Drosophila melanogaster: one gene and its partners. The protein of the gene in region 1 interacts with the protein of each later gene in a pairwise test. Each region holds a gene or a part of one and is shown in the gene's direction. Other genes may lie near its edges.

Region 1 (6,780 bases):
TCCCTTGCCGGCGGAGTGTGGGCGGGAAGTGGGTGTCCCGCCGTGCAACAGGTATGTGTTAGATTATAAGCGCTGAAAGCAAGCGAGCTCAATGCGAGTTGGGTTCGATCCCGGTAGACCGAGGTCTCCAACCGAGCCGTATCATCAACGTGTTTCTCAAGTTCGACGACTGTCCCAACAACAACCAAACCAAATCCAACCAAACAACAACTGGCAGACAAAATCTGAACCCAATTCAACCAAACAACACCAACCAACCAACCGATCAACCAACTGTATTCTTGTAGACCAATGTGTATGCCTCGGCCCAGCGACGTAAAATGAAGGGTTTTAACGACTTCAAGCGAATTGCGGTCGTTTGCATACCCAGCGAAGATGAATTGAAACGTCGCATCGCCGAAAAAGAGGAAAAGGGAAATGCTTTTACAGTTAAAGAATCAACAATTAATAATTTACGAGGTAAATATTATCCACCACACCAAAGCAACGAATTGAAAAAAAAAATCCAGAATAATGTACGATCGTATAACTTATTATTCTACCTATCTAAATAAGGAGGCATTCTTGTTAAAATGAAAAACATTATAAAAACTTATGTAACGTATTTAGTTTGTAAGCAGCTGCACTTTATGTATCTATACGTAATTGTAACTGTAAGCCCTTCAAAATATCTCATAATTTGATTATTATTATTACCATTATTCATTAACATTTATTCTATAACAACCCCCACTTGGCAACTGGAACGTATAAAGGATGGACTTTATTCACAACTGGATTTCTTGAAAATCGAAATTTTTGCGCCCTTTTACGTTCGGTTGCCAAAGTTGATCCCTTCTTTCCCTCTATACTCCATCTACAATAATTCCTAATCTGTAATGATAATGAGCGATTTTAGCAATTGTGCAGCCTTATTGATGATGTACACGCAATCTTTTTCCAGCCAACTTCACACTTCCCTCGCTGGAGTTTGGCTGGTTCGATGATATAAACTACACGGAGCTGACTGGTGACGAGGCCAAGAGCGAGGTCAAGAAGTACAACGAGAAGGGCAAAAAGGCCATTGACGCGGAGAGGTCGCGTGACAAGAGATCCCGAGGAAGTCGCGACAACTATCGTCGTGATGACCGGAACCGGAATCGATACAATGATGACCGACGTCGTGATTATGGCGGCCAGCGGCACGAAAGTCGTTGGAGCGACTCCCGCAGGGGAGGCGGCGGTGGCGGTTACTCCAGCAATAGTGGTGGAGGCGGCAGTCGTGGCTACGACAATCGCCGCAACTACAACAGCGGTAGCGGTGGCCAGCAAAATTGGGTGCAGAACAGCCGCAGAAGCGGGTACGATGATCGCGGCTATGGTGGCGGTGGAAGCGGCAGTCGTGGATACGACAATCGCAACCGTGGATACGCAGGCGGCAGCGGTGGTGGTGGCGGCGGCGGCGGTGGTGGTGGTGGTGGTGGTGGTCAGCAAAACTGGATGCAGAACAACCGCAGAAGTGGGTATGACGACCGCGGCTACGGCAGCTCGCGGGACTATCGCGATCGAGACCGTGGCAACGACCGCAGTCGAATGGGCAGTAACGACCGGAACCGGGGCAGCAGCCAGAGTAGCTATCGCTCGGGAGGTGGTACTCATCAACAACGGGATTTTCGGCCTGGCCACCGCGACACCAAAGAAGATAGTCGCGGTGGCTATGAGCGGTCAGCTGGTCAATCGCTACCCAAGTATGGCAATAACACCGCTGTAGGCGGTGGCTACGATCAGTACAAGCAACAAGGTGGAGCACCTGGCGGAGGCAAGGTAAGTGTGCGACCAAATCCTCGACGCATGACAGCTGGCTAAGATCTCGATCGTTCCTGTAGGCCTCCCTTAGCGGCAAGTGGAGTACGTACAGTCAACACCATCAGCAACAGCAGGCGCCGCAGCATCAACAAACGGGCATCTGGCAGACTCAGCAGCAGTCACAACAATACCAACAACCTCAGCAAGCAGCGGCGGGCCAGCAACAATACTGGGCCTATAACCAAATGCAGAGTAAGTGACGCAGTGTTCGACTGCTTAAGGGCGAAGACTATACGAGTTATGTTGATTCTCCCAGCAGGTTATGGCAACCAACAGGCCTGGCAGAGTGCCGATCCGCAGCAGCAACAACAGTGGATGTCCTGGTGGCAGGTAAGCAGGAGGAGTCTTATGAAAGTCATTGGAAGCGAGAATACTAAAGATATTGTTTCTTTAACAGCAGCAGCAGCAGGGCTCTGGCGGAGCAGCGGCTGGGAATGCCAGTGGCGGATCAGGCGTAAATGTCGGCGGCGGCGCTGGCAATAATGATGGCGGTGCCGCCAATCATTACTGGTCTCAATATTCGTACTCCACGCAGTCCAATGCGGGTGCCGACAAGAAGTAGAATGCAGCAACACTATGCAGCCGTGTTCCACCAGGCCCAGACCCCTCTGCGTTGTCCCGAAAGGAGTTAACCACAAATCTGAACTAAACTTTATATAATAGTTTTAAACGATTAACGAACAGTAAAACAAAATTAATTTAGTTTAGCCAGTTTGGGCTAGTCGAAACCAAACAATTGCGAGGGCTAACCAAACCCTAAGTCAAAATTCTTACCTTACCTTCGGATGGATTGTACAAAACTAAGACTACATATATCATTTGAAATTGAACGTGAATGTTTCGCTTTTCATTTTCCACAACGCATTTTCTATATGACAGTGACGAAGCAATTGAATGAAACGCGGTCTTTACTCTGGCACTACGTATCTAGGCAGTACAACTTGTTTTAACGTTTATTACGATTATTGTTTTATTTTTTACAATCAACGCAAACAATTGAAATGAACGCATTAGAGAAGAAACATTAACGAATAAATCTATACATTGAAAAAATCTATTTAAACGATCTTATTACTGGGAAAGGGTGTGTAATGCGCTCGCATTTTAAAGGACAAATCGTTAAAACACGATAAACAGCTAATTTTAAAATTTACATTAGGCCGAATGCAATTTAAGAAATATTGGAGTCTGCAAGTATGTATTTTCTAATTTAGTGTTTAAAACAGTTTTATTAAACTAAAAACTAACGTTTGCTTTTTTTTTTAAATGTATATTTTTATTTCCAAAAAAAAATTAGTAAGTTTGCCTTAGATTTCAAACTTAAGTTGTGCTATGAGTAACTGAAATTCAAAAAAATAAAGCAAAGGATATTTGTAGCTAATAAATATTTTCTAAAGATAAGCTGTTTAAATAATAAACTAATGTGATAAAATTTTTACTTGAGTCACTACCAGTGCGGCTTAGCGGAATTTTCGGCAAACGGGCACACTGCAACTTGGTCACACTGGCTAGCTGGCAGAAGTCCGTAAAATTATTTTTCGTTTCCCAGTAACTTTCTTGTCGCATTTTGCTTTTGAAATCAAATTAAATCATTTTTTTTTTACCAAAATCCGATATCACAATCAGATACTGCTGTAAGTTGAGATTAGGTGTGCCGTTCTGAAACCAGCAAACTCGACCAACCCTCCCACTTTGCCTTTGCCCTTTGTTCCGAGTTCCACTGATTTACATACTTTCGCCTCGCCAAGCATAGGTAATTATGGATACGGAGAAGTCTAGCAGCAGCTCCTTCGAGGACCTGACCAACGCCGAGGACACCAAAGACATTCGCAAGGTGGCAGCGGAGGAGGCAGCCTCCGGAGATGGCGCACCCCCGGCATCCGTTTCTGGAGACGGACAGAAGGCGGAGGAGGAGGATGCAGAGGAGGAATGTGATATACTGGGTAACAAGCAGCTGATTAAGCGCACCATCAAAAAGGCACCGCAAGACTCGTTTAGGCGTCCGATTCGCGGCGAATTGGTCACCGTGAACTTCACTGGAAAACTGGACAACGGCACGGTGGTCGAGAACGAGTTGAACTTCCAGTGTCACGTGGGAGACTACGAGGTTATCCAAGGATTAGATATGGTGTTGCCCATGCTGCAGGTCGGCGAAGTGTCCCAAGTCAGCGTGGATTCCCGCTTCGGCTACGGCTCCCTAGGACTGAAAAAAGAGGGTGAATCCGAGTACCTGGTACCACCCGATGCGCACGTAAGTTTATATTCAAATTGTCATAAGAACTCTTCACATATATCAATTTTCCAGCTTACCTACGAAATAGAGCTTCTGGATATCAAATACGAAGAATTTGCGGACCTTAAGAGCTTTGAAATACTGCGCAAATATGGGTATGTTATATTCTTTGCTTTGCTAGTCGGTTCTTAAAAAATAATTCATCTTTTCAGTACGCGCAAGAAAGAACGTGCCAATTTCTTTTACAAACGCTCGGAGTTCACAACCGCCATTCACCTGTACAGACGTGCCCTCGACTTTCTGGACAATCGTGATGGGGATCCGGACTCCGAGTTCGACAAGGAAGACTTGGAGCTCTCGAACAGTGACACGCAGACCCTGCTAGAGGATCGGTTGATCGTTTACAATAACTTGGCAATGACTCAAATCAAGATTGCCGCTTATGACGCAGCTCTGCAGTCCGTGGAGCATGTGCTGCGGTGCCAGCCAAATAACTCCAAAGCCTTGTATCGCAAAGGAAGAGTAAGTTGTTGGCTCAGAACCATCGATTTTCATTCACAAAATACTTAAATTACCCGGCAGATATTGGAGGGCAAAGCGGACACCCAGGGTGCTATTAAGCTACTGCAAAAAGTGGCTACTCTCGAACCCGAAAATCGAGCCGTTCAATCGGATTTGGCCAGACTTTTCATCAAGGCTCGTCGTGAGGAGCACAACGAAAAGGAGATGTATCAAAAGATGCTGGGCCAGGCCAAAAAAATGGAGCAGAATACTGCCACCAGGCAAAAGCAGCCGCTTGTCGACAATTCCAAGGTGAGATAGCTAATGAGTTTATAAAAAAAAACCGAGTGTTAATTCTCATTTTGTCATTCAGCTGAAGCTGCTTGGCTATCTAATGGGTACGATATTAATTGGAGTGGCTGGCGTCGCTATTTATCGTTACAAGTACTAAGGACAAGCATTGCACACGAACTACTGGTTATTTTAAGCAATTGAAATGCATTTTTTAAGTATATATAGAAGGCAAAATTATGAATGTTGGAAAGTCGCAGTTGCTTATTATGATGATATGGCTCTCGTTGTACATTTAATGCTATGCACACTTCACAATAGTATGTATCTTTCAAATAGTATGGTTTTGGATATCGTACATATAATGTTAAAGCTTAAGTTTAATCAACTACATTCTGTCAGACAAGTAACGGGAATTGTTAAAATAAACACAATATTCTCATCATTATGTTTTATACAATTTTCAAACGAAATAAAGCAACACAATCGAAATCAGACCATATTTATGAACTTGCAATAAGGTTCGAAAGAAAGCATATGAAATACCATATGAATGTAATGATACTGATAAGAGCAGCACTGATAAGAACTCCTAACTTGATTTTTTTTGTTCGTTACTTAAATAATGCATGATTTAACTAAACTCTGCTCTAATCTAAAAGGCAAACGAACTTTTGTAAAAACAAATCGGAACATCCGTTCAAGAGATATAATTTTCTTCTATCGCGACTTAGAATGATTAAATGATGGTGCGAATTTAAACATGCTGATTCATTGTTTGCGTATGGTAATCGACATGACAATGGGTATATTTGGGTCTCCCAAGGCTGTTTCTATGGGGGGTCGTGGAGGTAATGCAGCTGCGATCGTATATAAACCTATCAAGACATCAACAATTTTCAGTATCTGATCACTATATCAACAATAATTGTGAAAAAAAAACCAGCAATAACACAAAGCTTTATTTACCACATCTTATCAGTTCGCCACAATCTGTAATATCTATTCGATCTATCCAGAAAGTCTATATGTTTACAAACGTATGTTTATAAGCAAGTGTTTATAAATATCTTTCATTTGAGACAAAACACTTTTATTGGGGTGATTAATATACAAATTCATAAGCTTTCGGTTAAACAAATTCCTGCGAAAAATAAAAAAAATACATGTGATGCGAGTAACTTAGGCCTTCGATGCAATTTCAAGGGCCTGCTCCAGATCCTTGATCAAATCATCGGCATCCTCCAGTCCGACGGACAAGCGAACTAGACCGTCAGTGATGCCCAAAGTTTTCCTATCCTCCGCTGGAACCGAGGCATGGGTCATTATTGATGGAAGCTCGGCCAGACTCTCGTAGCCACCCAGACTCTCTGCCAGGGTGAACACCTTGAGGGCCTTGAGGAAAGCCGAGGAGTGCTTCAGCTCGCCCTTAATGTAGAAGGAGAACACGCCGCTGTATCCGTATGCCTGCTTCAGAGCGATCTTGTGCTGCGGATGGGAGGGCAAAGAGGGATGCAACACCTTCTCCACGAACGGATTCGTCTCCAGGTATTTGGCAACCTTCAGAGCATTCTTCTGGTGCTGTTCCATGCGCAGCGAGAGCGTCTTAAGACTTCTGTTCACCTGATAGCAGTCGAATGGAGACGGCACAATGCCCACTGCGTTCTGCAGGAACTTCAAGCTTTTGTAGAGCTTCTCCGAGTTCATGGTGATGCCACCCATGACCACATCCGTATGACCGTTCATGTACTTGGTCAGGGAGTAGCAGACCAGATCAGCGCCCAGCTCCAAGGGTCGCTGGAAGTAGGAGGTCAGGAAGGTGTTGTCGACGGCCAGGACGATATCCTCGCGTACTCCATGGACCAGCTGCGCAATAGCCTCGATGTCGGCTACCTTTACCAATGGATTAG
Region 2 (6,780 bases), on another chromosome or scaffold:
GTGAAAGCATCGGAGTTTTCCACCTCCTTTTCCATTTCGTCGCCTTCGTTGTCCTTGGTCTTCAGGATGAGAAAGCCCGCGCCCATGGGCACCAGCTTCTTAAACACCTTGGTGAAGTTCTGCGCCACTTGTCGGAACGTAAATTGAATGGCCTCCACTTTTTGCATCTCCAATGACTGAATTAGCATGTGGATCTTCTGGTCACCGATGTCGAGCTCCTCTTTGCGGCGATAGAGCTTCTCCTTCTGCTCGGAGAAGCTCAAGAACTGATCCAGGGCTTTCTTGTTCACATGGTTATACTTCTTCAGGTGCTGGTTTGCCTTCTCCAGCTCTTTGAAGATGTTCTTCAGGGACATGCGTGTGTAGGAAGGATCAACTAGCGGCACGGCGCCCAAGCTGGCAATCTTTTCCGTACACTCATCGATTTTTTCGTTGAGCATGTTCTCCTTGGTCGACCATTTCTCCAGCTGCTTGGAATCCTTGTTAAGATTCTCCTCGGCCTCCTTCTCCTTACGCACATGCGTTTCGAGCTCCTGCTGCAGCTCCTTTTGCAGTTGCACAGCCTCCATTACCCGCTTTTCGATCTCCTCCAGATCGGAGTTGACCTTCTTGATTCTCTTTTCGGCGGAAACCAGTTCCGTTTTGCAATTGTTTAGCTTTCGCTTGCGGTCCTCCACGGAAATCTCCTGCAGCGCTTGGATCAGTTCGTCGCGACGCCGGAACAGATTGTTGATCAGCAGGTTGTCTAGCTTGTTCTTGCGCACCTCGAACTGCATACGCTGCGTAAACGCTTCCTTATTCTCCTGGTTCAGTCGACGAATGTCGTCGTTCAGCTGGTCAATCTCACGCTGATCCTGCGACGACAACGTCGACATCAGCTCCTGCTTCAGCTCCGCCTCCAAACTAGATTTCGTACTGGTCATGGACTCCAATGAGGCCTTGCATTGGGCCAGTGAGCGCTCCTTGGGCGCACGATACTGCTCGATGCGCACCAGCTCCTCCTTCATCAGGCGAATCTCGCCCTGCACCTTTTCGAATACATCCTTCGACTTGCCCTGCTTCGTTTCCGTCTTCTGCATCTCGGATACGATTGAGTTGATGTTGTTCTCGGTGGACTTGAGCTCGTTTCGCAGCTTGCTGAGTTTCTTTTCGAATTCAGCTATCTGGCTGGTGTATTCCGTGCGCTTCTTTTGCATCTCAAGACGGGAACGGGATGTATTGAAATAGCCGCCAGTGAGGGATCCCTTGGAGGACACTTGATCTCCGTCCAGCGTAACGCAATCCAGCCCAGTGCTCTTGGCCAGCTCGGTGGCGCGCTCCAAATTTCTGCAGATTAGCGTTTTTCCAAAGATATACCTCAGCGCCTTGTCGTGCTGTTCATCGTACTTCAGTTTGGAGATCATAGGTATGGAGTCGGGATCATCCGGATAATCGTGTATTTTAACCTGAAGTCGATTCAGGGGCATAAAGGTCACCTCGCCCGGTAATTTCAGCTTATTCATCTCCTTGAGGATTTGCGTGCCCTCGTATTCTGACTCCACAATGTGATGGAATAACCGATTGGCGGCTGTTACCTCCACCGCCGTGTAGATGGTCTTGTCGCAGCTGAAGTTCTCAATGACGGGTCCATAGTAGGCTCTCGCAATCTCCGCCGATTGACCGCCACGTTCCACAAAGCTGTCGAGAACCTTGCGCACAGAATCGCAACCGTTCAGGATCGGCTTGCCGGCCATGCTGCGCAGCGCCTGGTCCGCCCGCGATAGCTCCTCCTTGTGCGTCTGCAGCTGCTGCGTCATCTGTGTCTCCTTGCGCCACAACTCGTTTCGCATGGACTGATGCTGGTCCTTGGTCTTCTTAAGCTCGTAGTACTTCTTGTTGTGCTCGTCGATCTGCAGTCGGAGCTGCTCCAGTTCCGATGAGTGCTCCTCGATCTTTTGACCCAGATCCTTTTCGGAGGTAGCGTCCTTCTTCAGATCCTCCACGAGTTTTGCGTGATGAGCGATTTTATCGCGCGTCTGTTTGCTAATTGACTTCAGCTCGTTGGTGATCCATTTGTCGCGATCCTCCCTAGAGGAGAACTGTGAACCGCGACCCTGCTTGGCGTAAAGCTCCTTGCGCTTCTGTTCCTTGAGCTGCAGCTCTCGGGAGCAGTCTTCCTCCTTGCGCTTCATCGCCTCGTATTTGGGCTTTACGTCGTCCAGTTCCTTTTCGCGTTCGGCTATCGTTACCTTAAGGTTCTTAAGCTCCTGGTCAGCCCGCTCCTTGGACTTGTTGTCGCCCTGAACCTCGTCATTTAGATCGACAATGGTTAGGTCTAGTTTCGTTTTCTCGCGCAGTAACTGTTGCTGCTCCGTCATCAGTACGGAGCGCTCCTCCTTTGTGCTCTGCACTTTCTTCTTTGCCTCTTTAAGGTTCTTTTGCACATCCTTGATCTTCTCTTGTGCCTTCTGAATCTCAATGTTGTAGATCTTCTTTTTGTCCGAGGACGACTTGCGCTGCAGCTGGAGCTCGTCGAGAGCCTTCTTGGTGTCCTTCAGCTCGGTTTCGTAGCGTATATACTCTAGCGTGCGGCGCGTCTTGTCCCACTTCTGGTACTCCTTTAGCTCTTCCTTCTCCTCTTCGAGCGTCTGGAGCCGATCCTCGATGGTCTTTAGGTACTCGCTGATTTTCTCCACCTTGCTGTCCGTCTCGCGCAATAGATTTAACGACTCCTCCTTCCGTTCGTCGTAAACACGCGTTCCCGCGACTTCGCGTAGCAGCTTGAGACGATAGGAATCGGCGGCAGTTGCCATCTGATTGATTTTGCCCTGCTTGACAATGTAGTAGGGATTTGAACTGGAAAAACCAGCCGATTCCAGCAGATTGACCACCTCATTGCGCGGCACCACCTTCTTGTTGAGGAAGTACTGGTCCTTTTTGGCGCCAATCACGCGCCGCAGAAAGATCTCTTCTTTGTCGATCTACAAAATAAGCGTAGCGTCAGTTATGAAGTGGCTAGAAATGTTTGCCTATAAGTTTGAATATTATGAGAAGATGCTATGAGCGGGTTGCTTTAGAGGATTTTGAGCGATATGTTACAACCATTGACTACATCTTCCAAGGCAGTAGAGTTCTTGCAAAGACTATGTTTTCTGGGTCACTTGGTTTGACTACTCACTGGAACTCGGTTGTCCGAGTTGTCGAAGATGATCTCCACATAGGCGGAGATGACGCGGGCACCTGTTCCCTCGTGCAGAAGCGACTGACGCTGCTCCGGCCGCAAGTGGGTGAACTCATCGCTTAGCACAAACTGGATGGCTGCAAAGTGGATGGGATAGCATTAGGGTCGATTAAATATGGTTAGCTGAACAGGCAGGCTGGAGCTGATACTAACCGTAGAAGAAGTTGCTCTTCCCGGAGCCATTACGTCCAACAACAACGTTATGGCGCTTGTCGAATGGTTCCACCACCGTCTGGTCCTTGTAACTCTTGAAGCCTTGTATAATAATCTGGAATTAACGGGTGGATTTCAGATCTTCGGTGTCCAATGGGTGGCCAGGAGCATGGCCGTCATTTCAACACTCACCTGCTTGATGTGCATCTTATTATATGCGATTTTTTGCACAAAATCGCGCTCTTTTTGTTTTACAACAAATACATAAATAATATCGACTCGGGCAGCGACTTATCGATGTTTGCGTTTCACTATCGATGTCATCGATATCCCAACTTTGAAAAACACTGGCTTGCAATCGAACCAAAAATTCAAATGATATAAAACAAAAAAATAATTTTAAATTTTACAACTAAAAGTGTCCATCAATAATGGTTTAAGAAGCAAACAAATAATTAATTTAATAAGGTAGTTTGAAGGTGTGAAATACTAAAACAACGATAGCCGACGTTATCGAATCGAATCGATTACTCTTGTTAAATTCACTCAGTACAGATATATTTTTATAGAAAGCCACTCGATTCATTCGATATAAATAAACACGGAACACCGTTTGTGTTTATTATATTACGACGTGTCTGTATTTTGACCCGTGCCCGAGGATCTGGAAAGTTCGCGATTGCCGCCAAAACAAGCAAGGACCCCATTCGGGTGTAGCAGGTGCAGGAGCAGGTGGACAGGAAACGGAGAAGCAGCTGAAGGAAACTCAAAGGAAGTGGTCACAGTGGGGAGAAGGAGCCCGTGAACTGAACCATCATCATTACCATCGAGCGCATTTAGGATGGCTGGGTCCGCACTGCGCCGCCTGATGGCGGAATACAAACGTGAGTCGAAAGTCCACAGGGCAGCAACAGCTTTCCCTTACCACCGCTCCGATCATCTCCAGAGTTAACACTTGACCCGCCCGAGGGCATTGTGGCCGGCCCCATCAGCGAGGACAACTTCTTCGAGTGGGAGGCACTGATTGCGTGAGTTAAGATCCCCGAACGATCGACACGGATCGGACAGATGTGGACAGATTAACCCATTAATTGCACTTTGCCCTTTGCAGCGGACCTGAGGGCACTTGTTTCGAGGGCGGAGTGTTTCCTGCCCGGCTCATCTTTCCGACCGACTATCCTCTGAGTCCGCCTAAAATGAAATTCACTTGTGACATGTTCCATCCCAACATATTCGCCGACGGGCGGGTCTGCATATCAATACTACACGCACCCGGCGACGATCCCATGGGCTACGAGCTATCCGCGGAGCGCTGGAGTCCTGTCCAGAGCGTGGAGAAGATTTTGCTTAGTGTGGTCAGCATGCTGGCGGGTAAGAAAAAAGTCACAATAAAGTCTTAAGGGCAATTCCAACGGGGGTATCTACTTCCAAGTTCATTTGTTCACTAGATTATATGGTTGATCATGCCGATAGTTCACTTCACTTGTTCATTCCTTAAGTTCAAACTGATGTCGTTCATTTTTGCCCACAGAACCCAACGATGAGAGCGGCGCTAATGTGGATGCAGCAATTATGTGGCGCGAACAGAGGGATGAGTTCAACGCCATCGCCCGACGGCTGGTGCGCAAAACTCTTGGTTTACCGGCGTAAATGGATCATGTGCGTCACCGTCAATACTTTCTACCCTGAACAACACGATTCCAACAACTCGCTAACCCATAGTTTTCTCAAAAATCCCTCGTTGAGCTAACCGACACAAGTTTCAAATTAGCAAAAATGAAGAACCTAACGTCAAAATCGACTAACTCAAGTTTATCTAGCACACTGACTGCCTCACCGGACTTAACTGGAGGGCCTATTACCTGAAGTACATCACTGGTAGTTGGACACGAGGCCAGGTGAAGGCGGAGTGAGAAGTTGGCAAGAAAAGTGAAAATTCTAATAATTTCTATTATTAAAGGTTTATTTTTTTTTATATATTTTCACTAGATATAATTTGTATTGATGCTTTATAAAGATGCTGTTTTGAAAAGTTAAATAGAAATTACGATAATTCAAGTGCAAGGGCAATGTATTCGAAGTGATTGAGGCGTTTGATTTGCATTATGCTTTATGTTTGGTTTATATAGTCATTACACACTTAATTCGACTGATCATTAACTGAAATCCAACATGAAATTGTCCTATGTACTCATAAAATACTACACAATTGTAAACGTTTTCATTCGATTAAGTAAATTGATTAATGTTCACTTTGATAAGGCATACGACTGTATGTATGTATATATATATATATATTTATATGTTTATAGGTAGGTGGGTAAATGCACACCCATACACATACATTGGTTAAGTGTCCACTGGTATGAGGGTAATATAGTTATCTAATAGTTGCTGAAGGTTACTAAGCCACACGAATTTCAATTGACCGGGCCCGCATAAATTAATGCTCTCTGTCTTCTTGGTTTTCGGACCATAGATGGGCTCGAAAATGTTTACACCATTCGATCGTTCGAGTACGGTGGGCACCACAGACTTTTACGGCCCACTGTACGTTCCACCAGTTAGTCAGTCAGTCATCAAAACATTGCCAATTAGTGGGAGTGGGCAAGGGCTGCGCCAGTTCGGATTTCCATTGACCCACTGTACGGTGGGTGGGGGAAGTCAATGCAGATTGCTTGAATTTTCTGCTTGGTGGTCTACTTGGGTTGCAGCTATCGTTAAGGTGCAGTTCTTATCTAAACTATCCTTATATAAATTTTATAGATTATATACCAATCAGATAATGGAAAAAACATCGCATGCCGCTTTATAAAAGTCTACGTTTCCGGAGAAAAACCTTTTCTTTTTGTTTAAAACATTAAAAATCTTTCGTAAGTTGAGCTGGTTGGTTTAGAATCATGGTTAAAAAGTTCACTTTTCTCTTTTTTGTTATTCAAAAAATTAAATACAATTTGCCTACATTAAATAGTAGTTAAATGAAGATAAAATTATATTCATACTTTGCTACTCTATTCAATATAATACCTTTTCTCTATATATTTCACTTGAGAGGCATTCAAAAATATCACTTTTCAGACTCCGGTTTCTGCCCATTTTGGCTTAGAGCTCTCACCTGGCTCTCATCAATAAGTTTTTGCCTGTTACTGGCAACAGGGTGTGTCATAGTGTAGATGTGTGACAGTGAATGTGGCGTAATTAACCTTTTGACAAACCGGTTAAATACAAATATCTAGTGCCATGACACCGTACAAATAAAAATAACAAAATGACAGCAGAGCAAATAGAACATATGTATGCAAACGAAAAAGCGGGATTCATTCAGGGCGGGAATAGGTGGAATTGGTAGTAAACACAAATATTATTGGTTCGATAATTATGTATAATTACATATGTATGTATTAACG
Region 3 (6,780 bases), on another chromosome or scaffold:
AGATCAAGTATCAGTGTGATAAGTGCGTATAATTGGGAATTATCCATGGAATTTGATTGTAATGATTATATTTTTTACAGTGCCATCTATGATAAGGAACGCCAAATGATCTACAAAATCGATGAGGTGCGAAATGAGGCAGCCGCCTTCTGGGAAAACAAACTTTAGTAAGTCACAAGTCATCATATTGAGTGCTCCAAATTGAACTTTTATGCCTTCAGCACAGAGATGACAAGACTGACAAATGAACTGGAGTCCGTGTATGTGGACGAGCGTCGCGAGGCGTTGGACAAACTGCAGAACGAGCACATCGAGGAGCTGAGGGCCCTGACCAACAGATACACGGCCAACGAGGAGGAACTGCGATCTGAGGTGGGTTCATAGTGTTATAGATAAACTGCAATCGAATGCATATTTGCATTTTATAAACCATCATTTAGATTGACGATCTGCACGAGAGCCTGGAGCAAAAGAAACAGGATTTCCTCAGCCTGCGCGAACGTTCGGATAACGCCCTGCTTCAGACCCGAATGCATTTGGATAAGGCCGATCGCGAGTACCAGAATGCCATGTGCCGCGAGGAGGATCGCCGTGTCGAGCTGGAGGAACGACTCCAGAAGGAGTTCGAGGCGGAGAAGGCCGAAATGGAGGAGAAGTTCCGCGAACGTCTCGGTCAAGTTAAGGAGGAGTTTGCCAAGGAACTGCAGCTCTCCACTCAGGAAATGGTCGAATCACATCGAAAGGAGCTGGGTAAAGATACATGTGTATATTGATTATTATTATATATAATTATATAATTGATTATATCAATCGGCAGACTCACAAAAGGCCAAGTTGCAGGCGGAGAAGGAGGAGGCGTTGCAGGAACTTGTGGAGCGACATCGCGCAAAAATGGCCGCTGCCGATGAACGAATCAAGTGAGTGAATGCAATGTGGCATGCCCCGCCCCATGGGCATACTTACCTTAATAGTGCCCCCTGACCGCTGCTCCCCACTAAATTGAAGCAGGATCCATTGGCTTGCATTGAATGTCTGCATCCTACTCATTTGCCACATTTGTCACATTGGAGTCCTTGAACTCGATCCATTATCACATGAACTTGTATTCTGTTCTCTTTCGTTTCACATTTCATTCATTGGATCAGCATGGATCAGCGTTTAGGTCGATCGACAGCCTCTCCAGCCCTGTGGGCGTTTGCAAAGGGGGCGTGGCCGTATATGCCCACACTATATGTGCTATATCTGACCATGTCGCCGCTGATCGCCATTGCATGCTTGGTGTTCAATATTGTCGCAGTGATCTATATCAAATATCGCCACCTCCTAGCGCGCCAATAAAATATTAATCCCCCTTTTCACGCTTAAAATGATTCTTGATTTAAATTTAAGACTGGCCATCATCGAAAATCTCTTGTTAGACATAAGACATTGGTATTGAAATGTTTGAAATGCGAACAAAACCCATAAGAAAAAAAATATGTTTTTATCTGGCATGCAGCTTGTCAAACGTTGTCCTTCTGGTGCGATTCTCCTAATATTTTACTTTCTCTTTCTCGCTATGTGTGTGTATCCACCTCAACCTCTGACCACTCTATATAACCTGAATAACCCCAACCCGAATCCGAATCTGCATCCGTATCCGCGTACGCATTCGTATCCGCATCCGCAACCGCAGCGATGTAGAACTTCGGCACCAGCGCAATCTCAAGGACCTGAAGGCGGCCTACGATGCCGAGAAGGCGGCGCTGGACAAGCGCGACATCAGCAACGCCAACGAGATCGAGCAGCTGCATCGCAAGTGCCGCTGCCTGACCAATCTGTAAGTGCACCCATTCCCCAAAAACCACCAGCCACCCTGACCCATCTTCCCCAAGGTCGAGTTCCTAAGTCTAAGGAAAGTTAATTAAAAGATTGAGTGTGATTGAGACCACAGATCTATGGAATTATGATTCGAAACTTTCGAATTTTGCTAAAATATAAGATTCTTATCTTTATATAATTTTGAAAAATAAAAAAATAAAATCGGAAAGGAAAGGGATTTAAGAGCTCGACCTTTTAACTCTTTTTATCTTTAACACAAATTTATCTTACTTTTGCTTGTCCGTGTTGTGGGATGTTGTACGCCAAGTCAGTATCCAGCATCCGCCTTGAATTCACCATTATCCTTTTTGGTAGTTTAGTAGTGAATATAGTAAATATTTAAGGAATTTTGCAATCCTTTTTGCGCAGATTTGAGGAGATGCGCATGCGATACGAAAGACGAGATCCTCGAGCCGAGGATCTGCGTGAGATAACCGAATTGAGGACACGATGCGAGAGTCAGGAGCGGGATTTGTATGTGCTCACCGATCGCCTGCGGGAAATGCAGATTCAAATGTCCGAGATGCAACAAAATGGTGACCGCAAAGGCGGTGGAAAAGCGGTAAAGAAGCCGCCGCCCAAATCAATAGCCACCAGCTGTGACGTCATATACGAGGAAAACGAGGAGCGAGAATCGCCCGACAAGGAAAATGGTGAGAACTCCTCCCAGGGGGACGAGGACGATGAAGCGGATGAGGAGGTCGAGCAGGAACCCAGCGACACCGAGTCCAATCACACGATCGAGGTCAATGGAAAGTCGGATCGAATCAACGAGGATGACGCCCATCTCATCACCGCCGTGTGAGCGGTCAAAACTTTCTATATACATAGATCTTCCAATTTTGTGGCTGTATTCTTCGAGATCCCCAGGAGTGGATGTTCCAGGACCAAGGATGTGTGTGTGATCCCGGGTGCTTTTGGTGCTTCATGTGCTGCCCTCTGTATCGCTGGATACGGAAATCGAACCACTCAATCAAATCGCTCAAAGCTTGAACTCATAAAAATTGTAAATTAAATTTCTGAATTGGTTTCTGAAACCGCCAAAAACAAAAAGAAACGAAATAAATGTAAATATTTTTAATAATACTGATATTTATACAGTTTACTATTTTTTTATTTATTGCTTAGACTTAACAGCTGTTAGCTTAACAGTTATCTTGGCACTGTAAATGCGAGAGAATTTAATTTTCAAGAGAGACGCATGCGCATCAATTGTACTAAATGAACTAAATTCGCCCAATTAGTACGTATTTCAAATATAAGAATGCAATTGTGGCGCGGCTAAATTTAAATGATCTACGGGCAAGAAAACGGTAAACAATAATTGTACTTTTCTAATTATGAAATATAAATAGAAACAAACAATTTATTGAATTTTTGTGCACTTCTTTTAATATAAGAAACGTAAGTTCGAAACCCTTCGAACTCGAACTAAATCGGTTGCATCGAACCAAGAGAGTGACCGTTCGCGAGCTCGGCTGTGATGCTAAAAATGCCAGATGGAGCAAGCAACATATACGAATATATACGAACGCATTTATCGCCGCGCGGTCAGTCGTCGAAATGTTCGAGATCCGGTCGTTTTGAAAACCAGCTCGAGCGGTCTATTCGCGTGAAATTGAAACTGAAAAAGCCGGTAAAACTGAAGCAAGTGTGTTGTGATTGAGAATTGAGCGAAACGAAAACGGTGGCCAAACGAGCCGTTTAATAAGCAAACAGGCTGGCCAATAACCAATTACCATCAGCCATGCCATCAAGGAATCGTGATAACGCAGACACAACCGGCAGCAATTTGTTAATTTGAAACGTCGTGTGTGTTCCTCTACGAAAAAAAAAACCCAGTTATTTAGCAAGCATTTAAATTGCATTTGTAGCATAGCACTTTAGTTGCGCGTAGGAGGAACAGCAAGGTCGTTGGGGTCGAATGTGAATGTTTGTGATGCAAGTGACAAAATCAAAATTGGAGTAAATTGGTAGCCATTCCTGTGAGCATTTTCGCGTCGCGTAACGGTAAATCATTGCGCCCTGCGTGTCTTCGTGTGCGTGCGTGTTTGAGTGTACGTTTTTCGGTTTTGTTTTCATCTCCTCCTTGCCATCCTCCTTTCTTCCACCTTCAATTGCCATCTCCTAATTTCCTCTACGAACGGAGAAACACGAAAACGAAAAGTAAGTGCCGCTACTTCTATTCCTCCTATATGTGTTATTGTAAAAGATTTGCAGCCATGTGTGCCTGTGTGTGCTTTTGTGTGTGTGAGGGAGATTTCGTGAGTGCGATAGTGTGTGTGTGCAGCCTCCACCAAGCGCCGCATTTAAAGGATATTCCTAATCCGTTTTATTGATTGCAGGGCAGAAAGGAGCGGCGAAAAAACAGCAACAACAACAACTACACAGCTGGAGTGCTCAAACTGTGTGTGTGCCTGTGTTTAGTTCTTGTTCTCGGCAATCTGTGCCGCTTTTTTTTATGTTTTTATTCCCTTCCCATTTCCACTCTATCCTCATCCTCCGGGGTTGCTGTTGTTGTTGTTGTCGGTGATTTAGTAGTGCCTGCTGTTTTCGTTTCATCTCTGTCTCCCTCTTATTTCCCTCTAATTCTGACTCTTGGCCGGCTTTTTGTTGTTGCTGCCCACAGATTTCCTGACAAATGTTAATTATTTATGCAACACTTCCTCTCTGCATTTTGTTATACAATTGTCCATTTTTCACTCATTTGGTTTAAATTGTATAAACACTTCCTTAATGTCTTGAAAACTTCCTTTTTGAGATAGAATGACTCATAAAGTCACATATTTCACTTAAAAAGTGCGTATCTTCTTTCGAATTGAAAGTTCTTGTGCAAAATTACAACACGCATTTAACCCACTGATATAAATTCTTTAATTGAAAATTATGCAGAATCACATAATATGAAATATTCAAAGACATATTGAAAGTTCGACATAATGATTTATCGAACTCAATTAATTTCTGTCTCGAGCAATAATTAAACGTCAATTAAAAAAACATTGATTACTTGTGTGCTTTCAACATTTTGAGACTTGAAATGTTTTTTAAACACCTGTCGTGGCCGTGTCCAAATAAAACCCTAAACTGCCGACTTTAGACACCGAAGAGGATTGTCATTTAAAATCACACAACCACACCTTCTTTTACCTTGTCTCTTATTTTTTTTGTGCCTGCTTGTTTGGGTAGCTTATCTGTGCTTATAATACGTGTACATTTTCGCTGCGTTCCATATCTCGGTGAATAACTTCATCAGAAAATTAAGCGAAATATGCCTGGCACCTGCCCCCGTGGGCATAACTCAATAATCACATCAAATGTCGCCACTGGACTTGCAGTGCCGTGCTCCCTACGCCTTCCCCCTCCAGATGCCCACTTCCTGGAGCAGCGGTCGCAACACCTCCTTAAGAGGTGTGTCCACTGGTCTCCCTGGTCTCGCTGGTCTCCTCTCAACTCCCAGATCTTGGCTGCCCAGCCTTACCAGCTCTCCCCAGCTAATGCCGCACAGCTGCGCGCCATTTAAGTCGCTGACAAGTGTTTTGCCGGCATCTCCGGAATGCGACGGATACGGTGGCGAGGTGGAGAGCCGAGAAAGAATCGCCTGCTTCCATGGTTCCTGCTGCCACAGAAGCCGCAGCAAAAAGTGGCAGCCAACATTGCTACCAATTATGCGATAAGCGAGAGGAGCACTCTTCACAGCTCCACAGACTCACAGCTGATGCTATTTCACCTTTACAATTGTGAGAAAACTTTAGGCAAATATAGTGTGGGTTAGTAAATTAGTTGCGATTCAACTTTTGCGATATTTCCGACTGGAGTTTTGATGCTCTAAAAGCCACTTTAATGGTCTCCATTTAAGCATTTAGTTGTGGGCAAACAACACTTAATTGTACATCTACAAAATGTGCACTTATACTCCGAGTAATTGGTCAAAACAAAATTTACATAAAAGCATAGTTGTCTCGATGATTTTGCACTATTATTAAGAGCCATTAAAAATTTGCTTGAAATTTATACAATTATGATTGCAAAAATTGTAGAAAATTCATGGAATTTTTCATACTTTTGAAATACATTCTAGTTGTTTTACATTAAATCCGGGGCACCACTTAAACAATCCAAAGAAAGCAAAAGTCGCATCGATGTTTACACTTCCCACACTTTTTCAATTAAAATCCATTTTTTTTCGCACTTTGCCAGCAAGTTCGTGCAACTTGCAGGCGAACAACGTGTTAACATGGCCAAAAGCGGTGGGAGACTCGGGCTAATGAAGTGATTAGACTGCGATTTCGCCGATGTTGTTCCCTTTAAGAGTACGAAAAAAGCATAATAATAATGGAAAGGAAAAAAAAAAGAAAAAATGAAATTGGTTGGGGAAAACTAACAAAAGGCCGCGTGCGCAGCCATCAAACGAAACGAAAAGCGTGCAACTGCAACAAAAACACCGGCAAGAACAAGAGCAGAGGAATGACCTTATATTGCAACTGCAAGTCAAACAAAGGGCCGCTAATGGGTGGCATTGAGGGGGCACCTCGCCTCGCAGGGCAGGAAGGTGTAATCCCGGCCGAGGACCGAGGACCGAGCAGTGAGAACCGGTCGATGCCCATTGCCCAGTGCCCAGTGCCCATCGGAGTCCGCTCTCCGAACGGAGCGGCTACTGCGGGGCAATTGGGCCAAAAGCATAAAAATCAGTCAAGAGTCGCCTTCGCCAACTCCGTTCAGCATTAAAAGCGACAAACAAACAAACAGAACGGACACTGAGCCAAAAAAAAGGTGCATCCCCATAAAGATAATCACAGATATAAAGTGGATTTATGGTACTGATAGGCCTATATGTGTATCTTAATAGTTGAGTTGTAAAACAAGAATGGGAAACAAAATAAATCTTAAACGGAAAAGTGGATGAAATTTATAAAATTA

Evidence for each region.
Region 2: the proteins of zda (region 1) and Ubc7 interact in a two-hybrid assay, tested with the Drosophila melanogaster proteins (one large-scale study listed by BioGRID).
Region 3: the proteins of zda (region 1) and SKIP interact in a two-hybrid assay, tested with the Drosophila melanogaster proteins (one large-scale study listed by BioGRID).

The regions. Positions count from the first base shown.
Region 1 is NT_033778.4:18,628,449-18,635,228, reverse strand, and holds zda (zonda), read left to right. Parts: upstream 1-3,326; 5' UTR 3,327-3,479; intron 3,480-3,593; exon of another isoform or gene 3,594-3,598; 5' UTR 3,599-3,604; coding exon 3,605-4,096; intron 4,097-4,150; coding exon 4,151-4,233; intron 4,234-4,290; coding exon 4,291-4,600; intron 4,601-4,660; coding exon 4,661-4,891; intron 4,892-4,952; coding exon 4,953-5,030; 3' UTR 5,031-5,635; downstream 5,636-6,780. Other genes in the region: CG30122 (uncharacterized protein), read left to right, coding at 288-459, 944-1,803, 1,866-2,037, 2,102-2,175, 2,243-2,407; Cth (cystathionine gamma-lyase), read right to left, coding at 6,053-6,780.
Region 2 is NC_004354.4:16,589,787-16,596,566, forward strand, and holds Ubc7 (ubiquitin conjugating enzyme 7), read left to right. Parts: upstream 1-3,890; 5' UTR 3,891-4,214; coding exon 4,215-4,257; intron 4,258-4,319; coding exon 4,320-4,401; intron 4,402-4,484; coding exon 4,485-4,744; intron 4,745-4,904; coding exon 4,905-5,023; 3' UTR 5,024-6,081; downstream 6,082-6,780. Other genes in the region: SMC3 (structural maintenance of chromosomes 3), read right to left, coding at 1-2,960, 3,158-3,297, 3,374-3,488, 3,566-3,580.
Region 3 is NT_033777.3:22,130,426-22,137,205, forward strand, and holds the start of SKIP (shal K[+] channel interacting protein), read left to right. Parts: upstream 1-3,404; 5' UTR 3,405-4,026; intron 4,027-6,780. Other genes in the region: CG42390 (uncharacterized protein), read left to right, coding at 1-22, 81-167, 222-372, 441-750, 818-917, 1,146-1,328, 1,676-1,819, 2,230-2,665.